2 linked regions of the Pelodiscus sinensis genome follow. The protein of the gene in region 1 purifies or fractionates together with the protein of each later gene. This does not show direct contact. Links are inferred from orthologs where the notes say so. Each region holds a gene or a part of one and is shown in the gene's direction. Other genes may lie near its edges.

What was found.
Region 2: the proteins of NDUFS7 (region 1) and NDUFAF4 purify together in Homo sapiens (co-immunoprecipitation; 4 studies listed by BioGRID and IntAct, counting the BioPlex papers as one, with this or other methods). This does not show direct contact. The link is inferred for Pelodiscus sinensis from reciprocal best matches to the Homo sapiens genes NDUFS7 and NDUFAF4.

Annotation. Positions count from the first base shown.
Region 1 is NC_134729.1:17,276,542-17,284,008, forward strand, and holds the start of NDUFS7 (NADH dehydrogenase [ubiquinone] iron-sulfur protein 7, mitochondrial), read left to right. Parts: upstream 1-4,462; 5' UTR 4,463-4,565; coding exon 4,566-4,581; intron 4,582-7,467. UniProt on the Homo sapiens protein: Core subunit of the mitochondrial membrane respiratory chain NADH dehydrogenase (Complex I) which catalyzes electron transfer from NADH through the respiratory chain, using ubiquinone as an electron acceptor. Essential for the catalytic activity of complex I.
Region 2 is NC_134713.1:68,594,960-68,602,805, reverse strand, and holds the start of NDUFAF4 (NADH dehydrogenase [ubiquinone] 1 alpha subcomplex assembly factor 4), read left to right. Parts: upstream 1-4,841; 5' UTR 4,842-4,982; coding exon 4,983-5,106; intron 5,107-6,687; coding exon 6,688-6,785; intron 6,786-7,846. UniProt on the Homo sapiens protein: Involved in the assembly of mitochondrial NADH:ubiquinone oxidoreductase complex (complex I). May be involved in cell proliferation and survival of hormone-dependent tumor cells. May be a regulator of breast tumor cell invasion.

The DNA of each region.
Region 1 (7,467 bases):
GAGATTTCTGAGACTTGGTGCTTTCTCCTTACAATGTGCAAACTTCTTATTCAGAAGTGAGATGTAAAAAACCCTAATACAGTCACTGTTACCAGAGAAAATGGGCTACACCAGATGTAGATTTCTTAAAGTTGGAGGGAAGGCTTCTATCACAATGTGATCTTCATTTCCTCTTCTGAAATAAATCATAACCACACATGCACTTTTTATCACTGTTGCCATATTTATAGGACTTCTAAACAATGCTACAATAACTAAAATTCTCGTGTTCTTGAATTACAATCTGAGGAGATGTAACCTCAACAATTCTGATGCCTTATTTTGATGCCTTATTTATATATATCACGCTCTTTCCCCTGTTCATTTTTCCTCTCTCCTTGTCTAATCACATCTTGCAGTAAGATTTTTTTTAAAGTACAAACTAGTACTAATGTCCAGTCTAACTGCACTTTAACCAAGAGTGGATTGTCCTAAAGTAGTGTGTAATGTTGGAGTTTCTTATTTTAATGTGCCTAAGACAATTTAGCCTTGAAAATAATTAAAAACAAAATGGAAACATGATTACATTCAAGAAATCAAAGGCTAGATCGGTTTTTTACTACTATTTTTTTTGGGGGGGGGAAGGGTTATGAGTATGTTAAGGCTGAATTCTGTTCCCGGACCCACATTTGGCTGTTACAGACTTCAGTGAGTGCTGCACATATGTATCCAAAGGGTTAATTGTGTCAGTAGATTTCATTGTGATAACACATTTTTCACTCATGTAGAAAGCACATAGACCACTTCTGTACAATACAGATAAATCTGAAGACCACACTTTAACTTCCATGCTAAGATAGTATATTACATTTAACAGTATACATTCAGTATTCATTTTCTTTTGTGTAGCGTATTTACCTTTCTGTGCTATTCTGTGTGACTTCAGTTTCTTAAATACTAATAAACTGGTACCTGATGAGAGATGAACTCTACAACACTTATTAAAATTAAATTCATGTGTGTCAAATACAGCTGATTGTGCTCAGTAAACAAATTTCTAGGAGCATGTTGTATTGTCCGAAGGTTCCAGCTATGAGTATATCCAATACCATTAAATGTATTTGATACAGTATTTGAGATTAAATATTTTGTTGATATTGTAAGATAAATTGGGTGAATGTCAGAAAGTAGTGACCTCTACTGCAATTTTTAATAAAGCAGAATAACCAAAAATCCTGAATTTTAATGAGCTTATTCATTATAGGTGGGTACAGTTGCAAGCTATCTTGTATTAATAAGTGCACCTTTTGTGAGAATTGAAATATAGCCCTTCCACTATTCTTTCAGAAAAATGATTTCTTTTGAAGTTCCTGAGGACAGGACAAGAATCAATGGGTTTAAATTGCAGCAAGGGAGGTTTAGGTTGGACATTAGGAAAAACTCCCTTAGGGTATGTCTACACTACCCCCCCTAGTCCGAACTAGGGGGGGTAATGTAGTCATACGGAGTTGCAAATGAAGCCCGGGATTTGAATTTCCCGGGCTTCATTTGCATAAAGCCGGACGGCTTAGGCTTCCTAATCCGAACTAGCTAGTCCATGCCGCGTGTAGCCGTGCGGCACGGGGTCCGAACTAGCCGGCATTTAAAAATGGCGCCGTCCGGCTTTATGCAAATGAAGTCCAGGAATTTAACTACTAAAGCGTATATCAACAGAAGACCATTATATTGACTCCTTTTTTTGTTTTGGCTTCACAATTTTAACAAATCAAACAAAAACTGCCACTACAGCACTGGAGTTTACTGAGGTATAAGTACAATCAATGTGAAGATTGTATCTGCAAACTTTTCACCAGCTATTTCAGATCAGGCTCAGATCAGGCTTGTATTCTGTTGTAGCAGCCGGGAGACAGTTAGTCACATGCCCACAAGGCTAAGGAGCCAGCACCTCTGCCCTGGGAGCTAGAAACACTGACACCCTGTACCCGCCTGTTCTGGCCAGCCCATCTGCTTGTGTCTTTCAATGCTTGACACGTTGTGGAGGCCATGTTCAAAGGATCCCATCCCTGGGCCGCCTGTTGAGCCCCACGCAGGGCCGGATGGAGGCAGGGGCGAGCTGGGCAGCTGCCCAGAGCGCCAACCCACAGGGGGCGCCTGATGGCAGCTGTAAGGGGTGCACGGCGTCCCTTACAGCTGCCATCAGGAGCTGCGCGCCTGGCTCCTGCAGTGCCCTTGCCCCCCCGGCTGTGGGGCCCTGCATGACCTGGCACTTGCACCAGCAGCCCAGGCCGGGCTGGGCAGCGTATGCGCTGTGCGTCCCGGGGGTGGGCCCCGGGCTGCATGCCAGCGACCGTGATCGGCCTGCGCATGTGCCGAGCATCCCAGGGGCGCCCGGGCTTTGCGCCAGTGGCTGTGGCTGGCGCGTGTGTGTGCCCTGCACCCCAGAGGCATGCCCATGCACACTGGAGGGGTGGGCCTGCGTATGCACCCTGCGCCCGGGGGCGGTGCCGCATGCCTGGATCGGCTGGCAATGCTCCTAATGCAACTTAATATGCCATTAGCCTTCTTGGCTACAAGGGCACACAGTTGACTCATCCAGCTTCTCATCCACTGTAATCCCCAGGTCCTTTTCTGCAGAACTACTACTTAGCCAGTTGGGCCCCAGCCTGTAACAGTGCACTTGTCCTTGTTGAACCTCAAACCCAAACCACATGGCGGCCGCAAACAAACAGGCTGCAGGCCATGTGTTGAGTAGCCCTAGACTCTAGGGGAAGGTGCCTGTGGCTTTTGGACAGCTCCTGGAGCCCCTGCACCCATCCTCATTCTCTTGGGCTTCTGGCCCTAACCCTAAAGTTCCAAGTGTTCCCAACAACCTAAAGATATTTTATTTCATCTGATGTGTTTTTGCAGAGAGGGGGGATTAACTGCTACAAGTTTTAAGAAAAAGGAGGTGGGTGGTTTTTTTAATCCTTCCCCCCAAAAATCCAACCTCTGGCATGTGTGGCCCTGAGCCAATTTCTGATCTGCAGAAGCCGAACTCAAAGGGGAAATTGCAACAGCCTCTTAGCTTGTGGGGATCAGCAGGTGAAACATTACCTGGGAGCAAACAGCCCCCCAAAACCGCCTGGCCACTCAGCCGGGAACTGGATGAAGTGCATCCGCCCAGCGATATGGAAACTCTAGTAAAACTAATCTCCTAGAAGTAAGGAAAACATCTGCCGAAACCCGGGATCGAACCAGGGACCTTTAGATCTTCAGTCTAACGCTCTCCCAACTGAGCTATTTCGGCTGCTTGTTCTGTGTGCTTGTTCTGCCTTGCCCTGAAATTGAAGATTGATTCTCGTTGGCTTCAGATCATGGGGTTTTGGCTAGAGGGCTCTGGTGTCCGTGCAGCTCATTGCCCGTGTACACAAGGCGGCACGTCCTCCCTGTTACCCCCAGCCATCAGCCTAGCTGTACCAAACACAGGAAGACACTGGCCAGGCCCCCAAGGACCTTAGCCCGGGGAAGCCATGCAGGGCAGGGATGCCTCTGTCCCCGCAGAAAAACGTCAGTGGAATTGACGTGATTACAGATTAATTGAACTGGAGCAACTGCTGTCCTGAAACACGTCAGTGACACCGGCCTCCAGGGTGGGTGGAGAGCGGGTGAGCCTGTCTGCTTGGCTTCGGCAGACCCCTCGGTATTAGCTGCATGGCCCTGCAAGATGCAAGCTCTCTGAGTCGGGGGGGGGGGGCAGCCGAGGTGTCACCTTCAACACCCCCCTCCCCCCCAGCCCTGGAATCAGGCGTGTTGCCTTGTTCTCCAAAATCCCTGAATTCCCAGTCTCTCTCTCTCTCTCTCTCTCTCCCCCCCCTCCCCCCCTTGAAGTTCTTAAGGTGTTGCAGAAATCTCCCGAACAGCTGGGTCTCTGTGGCGCAATCGGTTAGCGCGTTCGGCTGTTAACCGAAAGGTTGGTGGTTCGAGCCCACCCAGGGACGCGGCCGGGATCTTTTTTTGGCTGGGGGAGGCGAGGGAAGAGGGGGGCTGGGGCTGGGGAAGAGGGGGGCTGGGGCTGGGGCGGGGGAAGAGGGGGGCTGGGGCGGGGGAAGAGGGGGGCGGGGGCGGGGCTGGGGCTGGGGAAGAGGGGGGCTGGGGCGGGGCTGGGGAAGAGGGGGGCTGGGGCGATGCAGAGGGAACGGCCGAGGTTGCAAGTGGGGAGCTGGGATTCGGGCAAAGGAAAGAAAAGCCGCTCCCAGGCGGGGGGGGGGGGGGGGGGGCAGGCAGGAGCTGCCCCTGCTCCACGTGGAGCAGGAAAAGGGGCAAATCCCCCCCCCCCCGCAGCCCCGCCCTAGCGCCTTTGCTTTGCACCGCCAGCCCCGCCGGGAAAGCCCCGGGCCCCTTCGTTGCAGGGGCCTGCCCCACCGCCAGTCCGCGCACCCGGCACCCCCACATTTATCCTCCCCCACCCGCCAGGTCCCCTGGGCCCGGCGGAACCCGAGGGGCGGCCCGTGTTTCCCGGCGGGCGGGGACCGGAAGTGGCTGCACCGGGCCCGGGCGGACGGTTTAGGCGGCGCGCGGCCCGGGCGGGCAGAGGTTGGCTGAAGGGGATGGCGGCGCTGGCTGGTGCGTGGGGGCTGCGGCGGGACAGCGCCCCCTGGGGCATGGGGAGCCCGGGCCCGGCTTCTTGCCTGGGAATGGGGGGCGGGGCCAGGCTTCTTGCCTGGGGGGGCCTGGGAATGGGGGGGCGGGGCCAGGCTTCTTGCCTGGGGGGGGCCTGGGAATGGGGGGGCGGGGCCAGGCTTCTTGCCTGGGGGGGGCCTGGGAATGGGGGGGCGGGGCCAGGCTTCTTGCCTGGGGGGGGCCTGGGAATGGGGGGGCGGGGCCAGGCTTCTTGCCTGGGGGGCCTGGGAATGGGGAGCCCGGGCCCGGCTTCTTGCCTGGGAATGGGGGGGCGGGGCCAGGCTTCTTGCCTGGGGGGGCCTGGGAATGGGGGGGCGGGGCCAGGCTTCTTGCCTGGGGGGGGCCTGGGAATGGGGGGCGGGGCCAGGCTTCTTGCCTGGGGGGGGCCTGGGAATGGAGGGGGCGGGGCCAGGCTTCTTGCCTGGGGGGGGCCTGGGAATGGAGGGGGCGGGGCCAGGCTTCTTGCCTGGGGGGGGCCTGGGAATGGAGGGGGCGGGGCCAGGCTTCTTGCCTGGGGGGGGCCTGGGAATGGAGGGGGCGGGGCCAGGCTTCTTGCCTGGGGGGGGCCTGGGAATGGGGGGGTGGGGCCAGGCTTCTTGCCTGGGGGGGGCCTGGGAATGGGGGGGCGGGGCCAGGCTTCTTGCCTGGGGGGGGCTGGGAATATGGGAGGGCGGGGCCAGGCTTCTTGCCTGGGGGGCCTGGGAATGGGGTGCGGGGCCAGGCTTCCTGCCTCGGGGTGGGGCTGGGAATGGGGTACCGGGCAGGGCCAGGCTCTGAAGAAGGGGGGGTGCTCCCTTTTCTCATGGGGGGGAGGGTCCCCCTGTCCAGTGGGCTCGGCCCAACTCTGTGGTGGAAAGATCCCTCCCCTGGCCCCCCAGCTGAGGGGTCTGGGTGGCGGGTCTCCCCGGTGGGGTGTCTGTGTTTGCAGCGGGGAGGACACGGGGAGGGACGGTACCATCTAATCGTCCTTCCATGAGGGCAGGGGACTGGACTTGATCTCCCGAGGTCTCTTCTGGTTCTAATATTCTATGTCTGGGTGACGCGCATTGCAGGACCCGCTTATAAAGAGCCTTGGAACTAGCTCGCCCCTCCCTCCAGCCTGCCTGTGGATTTTGGCAGCGTGACCCACTGGGATCTCGTGGGCACCAGTGCCAGGGACCGCTCGGTGGGGCTTGTCTGACAAACTCACACAGGTGGCAAGTCCTGGGCTGTGGATCAACAGGCTGCAGGGTGCTGCGCAAACCCAGAAAGGCTCTGAACTAGATTGGAGGGAGGGGTGAATGCCAAGCCGGGCTGGGGTTTTCCTACCCCCTCGCTGCACCCATGGGCTTGTAGCTACTTGCATGAGATTATAAACCTCTCATTAGTATACCACTGCAAAGCAAGAGTGTAATGATTCCAGCACAGCCATGCCAAAACTCATATTTTCTCAATAAATTAAACCCTTCCCTTGGTTACTACTCGGTTAAAACAGCAGGGCCCTCAAACATTTATTTATTTGCCATTTCTGCTTTTGCCCTTTAAGGGTTATGGCTTTGCTGCTTGAAATAGGCTCTTGGATTTGTCCCCCACCCCTCAAAAAAACCCAGGCTGTCATCTTTTATCTACTGAGGCCGTGTTTAAAAGTTTTGTGGCCTCCTCCCAGTCTAGCCCTAGAAAAAGGGGGAGTGTTGTGTTACCCTGACACCTATTTGTGACCCCCTAACCCAACTCCCCATTGTAAAACCCAGGCTGAAAAGCCCTGCTTTTGGCCCCGTGTTTGGTTTTGGTGGCAAATGCTTTGAAGAATGGCCACACTTAAATGACTGCTTTAATTTATTTTCATGCTAATAGGGTTATCTTTGTTAAAGTTATTTCTAAACGATCTCCTGCTCTGAGCTTATATTTGGGGGCTAAAGTGCCAGCTTTAAACGGCTCCAAAATATAGGAGATTAGGCACATCAGGGTCGACTAGGAGAATAGTTTGTATCTGTTTTTTTTATTTGTACTGCTGAAGTATCTAGGAGCGCAGTCATGAACCAGGCTGCACTGAACTAGGCCCTGCAGAAACACAGAACAAAAAGAGCTTCCCAGCCTAGAGAGCTGGCAGTCAAAGTCCAAAAGACAAGAAGACTGGGGAGCGCAGAGACCCGATATAACAGTGCTGGCCAGCACGATCAGTGGTAGTTTCCGCAGCCTGGCTCTTGTCAATTTTTTGTAGGGATATGGCAAAGGGGATTTTTCAGGAGGGATTTGAAAGAGCAGAATGAGGTCGCTTTGGTGACGTTTACAGGGAGCGCCTCCCATGAGGGAGGGCCAAATGGATAGGGATACACAGAGACAGAGGCACAATTCACAAAAACAAAATAACAAAACCCAGTTGCTCCACCGTCCCCAAATATTACGCTGCTGTCCCAATCCTGTCGGGGTACTAGGTTGCTGACTTCCACGCATGCTAGTGCTACCTGCTGGCTGTCAGCGTGTGAGGCAGTTTGACCGTGCCAAGGTGGGTAAGCGAGTAATTTTTATTGAACCAGCCTCTGTGGGTGAAAGAGAGAAGCTTTCGCGCTCCACAGAGATCTTCCTCTGGTCTGGGAAACCAGCTAACGAACTGAGTGGGTCACAAGGGAACAAACTGTATAGCATCAGTGGTTAACGCATTTCAAGGGACCGTATAAGTCACTAACCAGTGAATTGTAGGGCATACCGTCGTTTAATGACACTTTGTATTTGGACAGAGGCATGGTATGATTTGCTTCAAGTGCATTGCTCTTCACACACCATTCTGTGTGCGTTTGTTTATCGCTTTGTGTGGTTTCAGGGCTAATGTAGTGGATGAATATGACTTTG
Region 2 (7,846 bases), on another chromosome or scaffold:
TTTCCATCCAGCTACAGAGCTGTCTGGAAAAAAATTCAAACACTTTGATGAAAATGGAAAAGAAAATGTTCACCAGTGTTTTTCTTTCTCCAAACAGTTTTGTTTCCTGCAATTGCTGAGCAATTTCAATAAGTCTGCTTGTAGATGTTGGAGGGATGAGACCAGGTATGCGTGTATGTGTGTGTGGGAAGAGTATCCCTCATCTGTTTAATACAAAGTTTCTTGCACCTTCCTCTGAAGCATCTGCTGCTGGAGACCATCGGAGACAAGATATCAGACTAGAACCACTGGTTTGTTCCAGCACAGCAGTTCCTATGTGCTTATGGTCTTCATTTTGGTATATGGGAAAGCAAGGAATCACACTGTTTACTACAAATACCCCAGAACAATTCAGATAAGCTTACTCATTCAGTGGCAATGAAACACTCTTATAAAACGGGACAAATAGAATATACAGACTTTATCTTACAAGAAAAAATATAATCACAACTTTTTAACTAAGAATGCAGGTGTGGGACTAGGTAAAGTGTTTCTATCAATGATACAGCTACATTGATAAAATGCCTAATTATGCCATGAAAATATCTTCAATTCAAACATTTCAAATATTTTACTTGTTGCAGTCAGTATGAAAGATTCCAGACTTAGAATGAAAATCTTGTAGTCCTGGTCATTCCCAATCAATGAAACATACAGCCTGGTAACATGCTTAGTGATGGGAAATGACAGACATAGAATGACATCACTCTTTATTTTTAACTAACTGGCTGCCTTTTGGTGAGTTTGTCTGCTGCTGGCAATACCACAGGAGTGTTAGTCACATCAGGCTTTAAAGAAACTGCACAGCAGTACTGTGCTGAGTCTGATTCCAGTAGCCAGAAATTTCTGGTGCCAAAAGGCACTTTCTTTTGTTTCAAATTAAGGTCAGTGCCTTCAGTCAATAGGCAGATGGATGATTTGTGACTTCTCTTAAAGGGATAGTAATGAATATTGTACCAACAATGATCTCTGAACACCAAGAAAAGACATTCATACGAACAAGAAATGACAGTTACATTACAAGATAAACATTTATGAGTTAGAAATCTTTGTGCTTCAAAGCATAACCAAGTCACCCACTAACTTCCTAGTGATCCTGAACTAGACAGATCGTTGGTCTGATTCAGTCTGGCAATTCCTATGTTCCTATTACTATGTATACTGTGTAGTGGTTTCTAAACTAGATCCCAACAGAATATGGCTTTAGGGCAATTTTATGTCTATATCATTACATAAGAGAGATGGAAGACCTGAGCTTTTGAATTGGGGGAATACAATGGTTACTTCTTCCAGGACCCCAGAAAGAGCTTAGTAACCCCAGATGCAAATCCTGTTTTATTTGCTACTTGTTCTCTCTGCCACCCCATTTATCTTATCTACCTATTATGTCTTGTCTTTCAGACTGTAAATTCATTGGGGAAAAGACTGGCATTTATTATGTGTAAATACATATATTGATAACACAATAGGGCCCAAGCTAGTAGCAATCTTTATGTACTACCACGAGTTATGGTTTTGATGTAGATACTCCCTTCCCAATTCCCTGGCATGTAGGTCAGTAGAACTGGATGGATGTGCTGAGAGCAAATGCTGCATTTTCTTTGCTCAATGAGGATCTGAGAGAGGTACTGTACCTTCACACTGTCCTTAGTCAGTCCTGTGACACAAGCTAGCCCACAGACTGCCATCCTGTAATAATTTGTTGTTCTGAAAAACTCCAACATAGGGCACATAACGTATCCATACAGCAGGGGTGGGGAAACCTAAGGCCTGGGGGCCAGATGCAGTCTCCAGATTGCCTAAATCCAGCTCCCAAGGCTCAGGACTCCTCCTACCCCCCACCCCCAGCATTGGGGAGCCCACACTGGTGCTCTAGCCCTCCTACTGTCCCTCCGCAGGGCTGGAACACACAAAATTTACAAGGCTGGGTTCCCCAAAGCTCTGGTGAGTGAAGGAAATGTGGAGACTATCTTTCTCCTTCTCAGTCAGGGGCTGTCTCAGTGAGTTTTGAGTTTTTGTTTTGTTTTACATCTCACTTGTGTGTGGCCCCCAACTTATTTTTCTATGGGTCAGTGGCTCCTGACCCAAAAAAGTTTTCCCACCCCTGCCATACAGCATTGCCTCCTAAAACTGTCATAATGTCATTGATGAGAACAATGATGTACCTGTATAGAAAAAATCACACACTTTCCAATCACAGAATAGCAGTGATGAGAAAGGTCATCAGAAATACTTAAATGGTACCTTTATCCTAATAAACTCACCAATTAAAAAACACAAAGAAGATGTTTAAAATTAATGTAGATGCTGATATAGAGGCAGCAAGCAGCTATACAGGAGCTGGTACATGTGGGAAGCTAGTTTGAAAGCCACCCCAACTAGAGGCAGCAGCATGGGGGAACTGGTGGCTCCGCAGAAGCTGGTACTTGTGAGGAACCAGCTTTTAAGGCAGCTCTCCCCAACACCAGCTCCTCCCTACCCCATGCTGCTGCCTCTGATACAGAGGTGGGGGTGGGAGGTGCATGTAATGGTGCAGGTTACAGGAGGCCCCCGACTTGCGACCATCCGAGTTCTGACCCCCCACACTTTCAACCATTTTTGTAAGTGTAGAAAGGGCCAGAAACCCCTGACTTATGTCCTCAGCCCGCATTTACAGTGGTGCACAGCACCTATTGTAAATGAGGGTTTGAGTTACAACACCCCCAACTTGCAATGCTTCTCGTGGAGCCAATCACGTTGCAAGTTGGGGGCCTCCTGTAATTGATGAGCCAAGGCACATCAGTTAACCATGTATACAAATACACATTAATATCCCTAATTCCTATGCTGTACCAAAGCTAATACTAAGATGAAAAGATGTGGGCATTCTGGTTATCAAAACTCTGGAAGGTGGAAAACCTACCCCAGTCTGACAACATGAGGATATTTCCAACTTTATCTCAAGAAAGTGACTCCAAGACTAAACACATGGTTTGATTCTCAATTAGATGAAAACCCACAGCTTCCATTAACTTCAATCTGAGATCTGGGTGTTGGGCATAGCTAAAAATCAAGGGGAAAAAAAAACAGGTCTCACATACCCTTATGAAAATCAGTGATTTTAGCCACATAAAAAGCCCTGTTGACTGACATAGGACCACTCATGTCATGTTCATAAGTGTTTGTAGGCCTAAAGAAAGAAAAATGTTCTTTCACATCAGCAGTAACAGACAGATCTATTATTGTTATTGCCAAGGCTCAACAAATCCACTTATCTACTCGCCCGTGGCGAGGATTTCAGCTGGTCGCCCTGTTCACCGGCGGTGCGCACATGCGCAATGTGGGTCTGGCGCATGTGCGGTGCGGGGTTGGCAAGTGGATTTTCGCCACAGTCGTCGAGCCCTGGTTTTTGCATAACATTCAAATGCATCTGAGTTTTCATATAACATAGAAATACATATATAATATATGTACACTGCATGCATTTTAATATCCCCATATGAAACAATAACGGAGTTCACAGTTACTGCTGTGGCAGGAGAACAACCTTCTTTTATTTTTACAAATTAATTTAAACCTTAGAGCAGCAGTTCTCAATCTTTTTGGGCTCCGGAGCCCTTTACATGCATAAAAATTTATGCGGCGCCCCAGCAGTCCACTGATTGTATGTGTTGTACCTATCGATGTTTCCAGTTTGTCAACCTCGTGGAGTCCCTGGAGATGTCTCGCGGAGCCCTGGGGCTCTGCGGAGCACAGTTCGAGAAACACTGCCTTAGAGACATCATACTCACAGTATATTTATAGGTAACCTGAAAAAGAAGTGCCTCTGCTGAGATCAGTCTGAACCAGAAGTGAAAAACTGGTGCATCCCAGTGTGGCAAACCCTTAAGAGAGTGGCTGGTTGAGGGCGGGGCTCTGGATGCTGTCGGACACTGTCCATGGGTAAGGTTCCAGACCTGCTGCTGGGCATGTTTGGCTAACCCCTCCTGTTCTGGCCCCCATCCTCCACAGCCAAAGCCCAAACCACTCCCTTGCTCCCTCATGGCTGTCAGCCCCAGCGTCAGACAGCTGGGTGTGGGGAAGGCAAGGACCCAGCCCTGTTAGCCCTAGCCAGCAGCCACGGTCCCTGGGCAGCGTGGCCACAGCACAGCTAGGCTACATCTACATTGTGGAGTTATTTCAGGATACCAGAAGCTATTAGCTATTCTGCATCTTTAAAGCAGTCTGTTATTTCTAAATAGATTTCAAAACAACAGGCACGCTATTCCGGCATCCCTGTAACCCTCCTTCCACGAGGGGTAGGGGACATTTTGGAATAGTGCTTCGTTTTGAAATTCTCTCAAAATAAGTTACTGCAATTTGCACAGTGCAAATGGTGGTCGCTCATTTCAAGGTAAGGGCACTGTGGAGGCTCACCCTAGGCAGCCCAGTGCCACAGCCCCGGTTCCAGCAGCATAGTCCCCACTGCCCTACAGCCTCGAGTACCCCCCCCCTAATCCCTGCCCTGACTCCTGCACCTCCCACATTTCTGCCTTGAGCCCCCCACACTTCCCACCCCTCCCCCGACTCCTGCACACACCCCGCGCCGCGCCGCAGCCTCACCTATCGCCCCGGCCCCACGTACATTCCCTGTGCTGCCCGCAGCGACAGCCCCGCCCGCATTTAAGTCACTTTCGCCCTGGGACGGCCCCATACGCCGCGGCGGGCGGGCGGGCGGGCGCGAGCGAGCAGTAGGCGGCGCTGGGCTCAGAGTATCGTTACCCCGGCCACGCCTTGCCGTGAGCAGCAGCAGCCGCCGCACGAGTTACAGATGGGGAAACTGAGGCAGAGCGGAGCAGTGCCCCGCCGAGCAGCCTGAGCGCTCAGCCCCGCCCCCGCGCCTGCCAGGGGTCCTCCAGGCCGCTAGGTGGGGCGCTGGCGGGCGGGTCGGTGGCGCATGCGCGGGCCGGCGCTGCGCGGAGGCGATGGGCGCCAGGGTGACCCGCGCGTTCCGCAACTTCAACTTGGAGAACCGGGCCAGCCGCGAGATCAGCAAGAACAAGCCCACGCCGGCCCCCCGGCACCGCGCCGCGCCGCGCGCACTGCCCGGTGAGCGCCCGCGCCGCGGGGGGAGGGGCGGCAGGGGGCTGGGGCACGCGCCGCGGGGGGAGGGGCTGCTAAAGGTGGATTTCGGGGCGCTGGGGCACGTGCGGGGTAGTGGGCAGGGCTGGGGGCTGTGGCGGGTTACGGGGCGGGGAGGGGACAGTTGACGGAGGGGCTGGTTGTCTCCCCCAGCGGAGCCCTGCAGGCTGCGAGGAGCCCAGGAGCTGGGAGCGGCCGCGGGCTGCTGCGGACAGTGACCCCTAATCCTGCCCGCTGCTACCTTCAGCCTTGTTGTTTGGCTGGACGCTGCTGATCCAGGGCATAGGCTGGCGGGTGGGGTCCTCGCGTCTCAGCCTGGTTTACTTGTGGGTTGTGTGACTTTGTGAGGAAGCCAGTCTGTCCCCCAGCTCCTGCGGAGCCGACTGCCCCATGCATGGAACAGGTTGGGACTTGAACCCACCAGCCTTCCCTCCCCAGGCGAGGAGGGTTACATGGTTATTTAAGCACATTTTAACATCTCTAACCGAGCATGTGCTCTAATCAGTAAGCAATGGAACAATGTTAACCAGGATAACGTTAAGGGAAGAGTCACTAAAGTTATCCACCTCTCCACAAGGTGGTAGATAGATAGGTCATTAGGATAATTCCCAGCTGTGTCTACACTGGATGTTAGTTAGGTTGACCTAATTATATCTTGCAGGGTATGAAATTTGTCTCTGTCTCTTTGAGAGGCAGCAGCATGGGAGGATAGGGGGTGGCAGGTGGCTCTGTGGTAGGGATGTTAAATTTAATTGGCTAATTGAATAGTTGATGCAATTTGCATTGACTATTCAGCGAATCAATAAGGGTGCCTCTGCCTTTGAAGTGTAGCAACAGTCTCCAGGGCTGTTGCTACATTTCAAAGGTGAAAGTGCTGCAGAGCGCATGGGATCTGTGGGGGACTCAAGCAGTCCCCCCGCCCTGGCCCCGTGCTCCCTGCAGCATTTCAAAGCAGCAGTGCTGCATGGAGCCTGAGGTCAGTTTGGGAATTCCCAGCTGACCCCAGGCTCCACACAGTGCTGACACTTCAAAATGCCATTTGCAACCCTGGGCTCCACGCAGCGTTGCAAAGTAGCAGACTCTGGACTTTATGTGGTGCTGCCATTTTGAAATGGCACGTGCAACCTGGGCCAGCTGGGGACTCCCCAGCTGGCCGTGGACTGCATGCAGAATTTCAAGACGGCAGCACCGCATGGAGCCCAGGGTCTTGCCATGGGCTCCACATGGCGCTGCAGCTTTGAAACACCCCTTCCTCTCCCTGCCCCCCTTGCTACCTCTAGACCTGGCCTATTCTAGACCTGGCCTAATTGCTTAAAATTGCTACTCTTTTCCTCTTGAATAGGCATAATAAATTCTCTTTTCCTTGTGTATGAGGGATTAAGTATTGTGAATATTAGAAATAACATGGAAATCTGATTTCCCTGAAAGTATTTACACTGTCTTCACATGCATTAATTTTCACTTGAGTTGTGTGATGTCTTATGGGTATAAGCCAACAAGAATATGTGTGCAAGTAAATGATTTTCTGCTTTAAATCTTTTTTCTTAGACTATTCAGACCTCCAAGAGGAAATCCGCAGAAAAGATGACAAACTTCTTACCTTACTGAAAGAGGTTTATGTTGATTCCAGAGATCCACCTGTACAAGTGAGCATGTCTTCCTTCTGCTATGATTATAGCAGCAAGCATTTTTCAGATGACAAAATTAATAACGTACCAATGCTTATGTGATGAATAGGCTTAGCAGCTTACTCCACCGTTGAACCTCTGTGGTCCTCAACTCTCTGATCCTGCAATGTCTGTGGTCCAATGTTGCAGGGCCAGTGAGCCCCAGCCACAGAGTTTGCCCATGGCTGGCCACCTGTAGAGCCAGTAGCCTTGGGGCAGGGAGCCCATCCAGCAGGCCAGTGGCAGGCTGGGGGCAGGGAGTCCTGCCTCCGCAGATAGAGTAAGATCAGCCTGGAGAAAAACCTCTTCAGCCGGGGCAGGGAGTCCTGCTGTGATTTGGAGTGAGACCAGCCTGGAGAAAATCCCCAGTGGCTGGGGGCAAGCAGCCCTGTCTACTATGGCTGGACTGCCTTGGTCCCAAGAGTGTCAGACCAGGAGGTCCAGCCTGTAGCTGTTAATAGATTAAATTGAGATTTTTTTATTGATGTTTTATAATTTCAGGGTTACCTTATTTATTTAAGAGTGTCATCAGCCTCTGTTTATGGTTTCAGCTTTCCTTCCTTTCTATGAAGTTGTCTATACAGGCATCTTCATCTATCACAGAGACTCTTATCTGAGTGCACCTTCCTTGTGCCACAGCCTCTAAAATATGTTCACAGATTTGGGTTTCCAGAAGTTTAATCAGCCAGTCTGTGGAAGGGAAATAGGAAATTAGACGGGAAATAGAATTCCTGTTGATTCTATATGTGGTAGAGGAAATTGGAGCTTGTGTGGAGAGCAAAGAAGCTAGTACCAGAAATAAAGAAATTATTAAAATATCACTTAAAATGTTGGTGTCCTTTTAAGTGAAGTTGTGTATCTGTTTGGGTGAGGAAATGGTAAGATGTTTTATTTATATTGTTTTTGTATGAAACGGATGATCTAACAGCAGTTGTCTATGTGGTATGCATGTAAAATAAGGATGTTAAGAGGCGGGTAATTGGCAAATAGTGTAGTCGATACAATTTGTATCAAGTAGACGATTAGTTGATAAGGGAAGG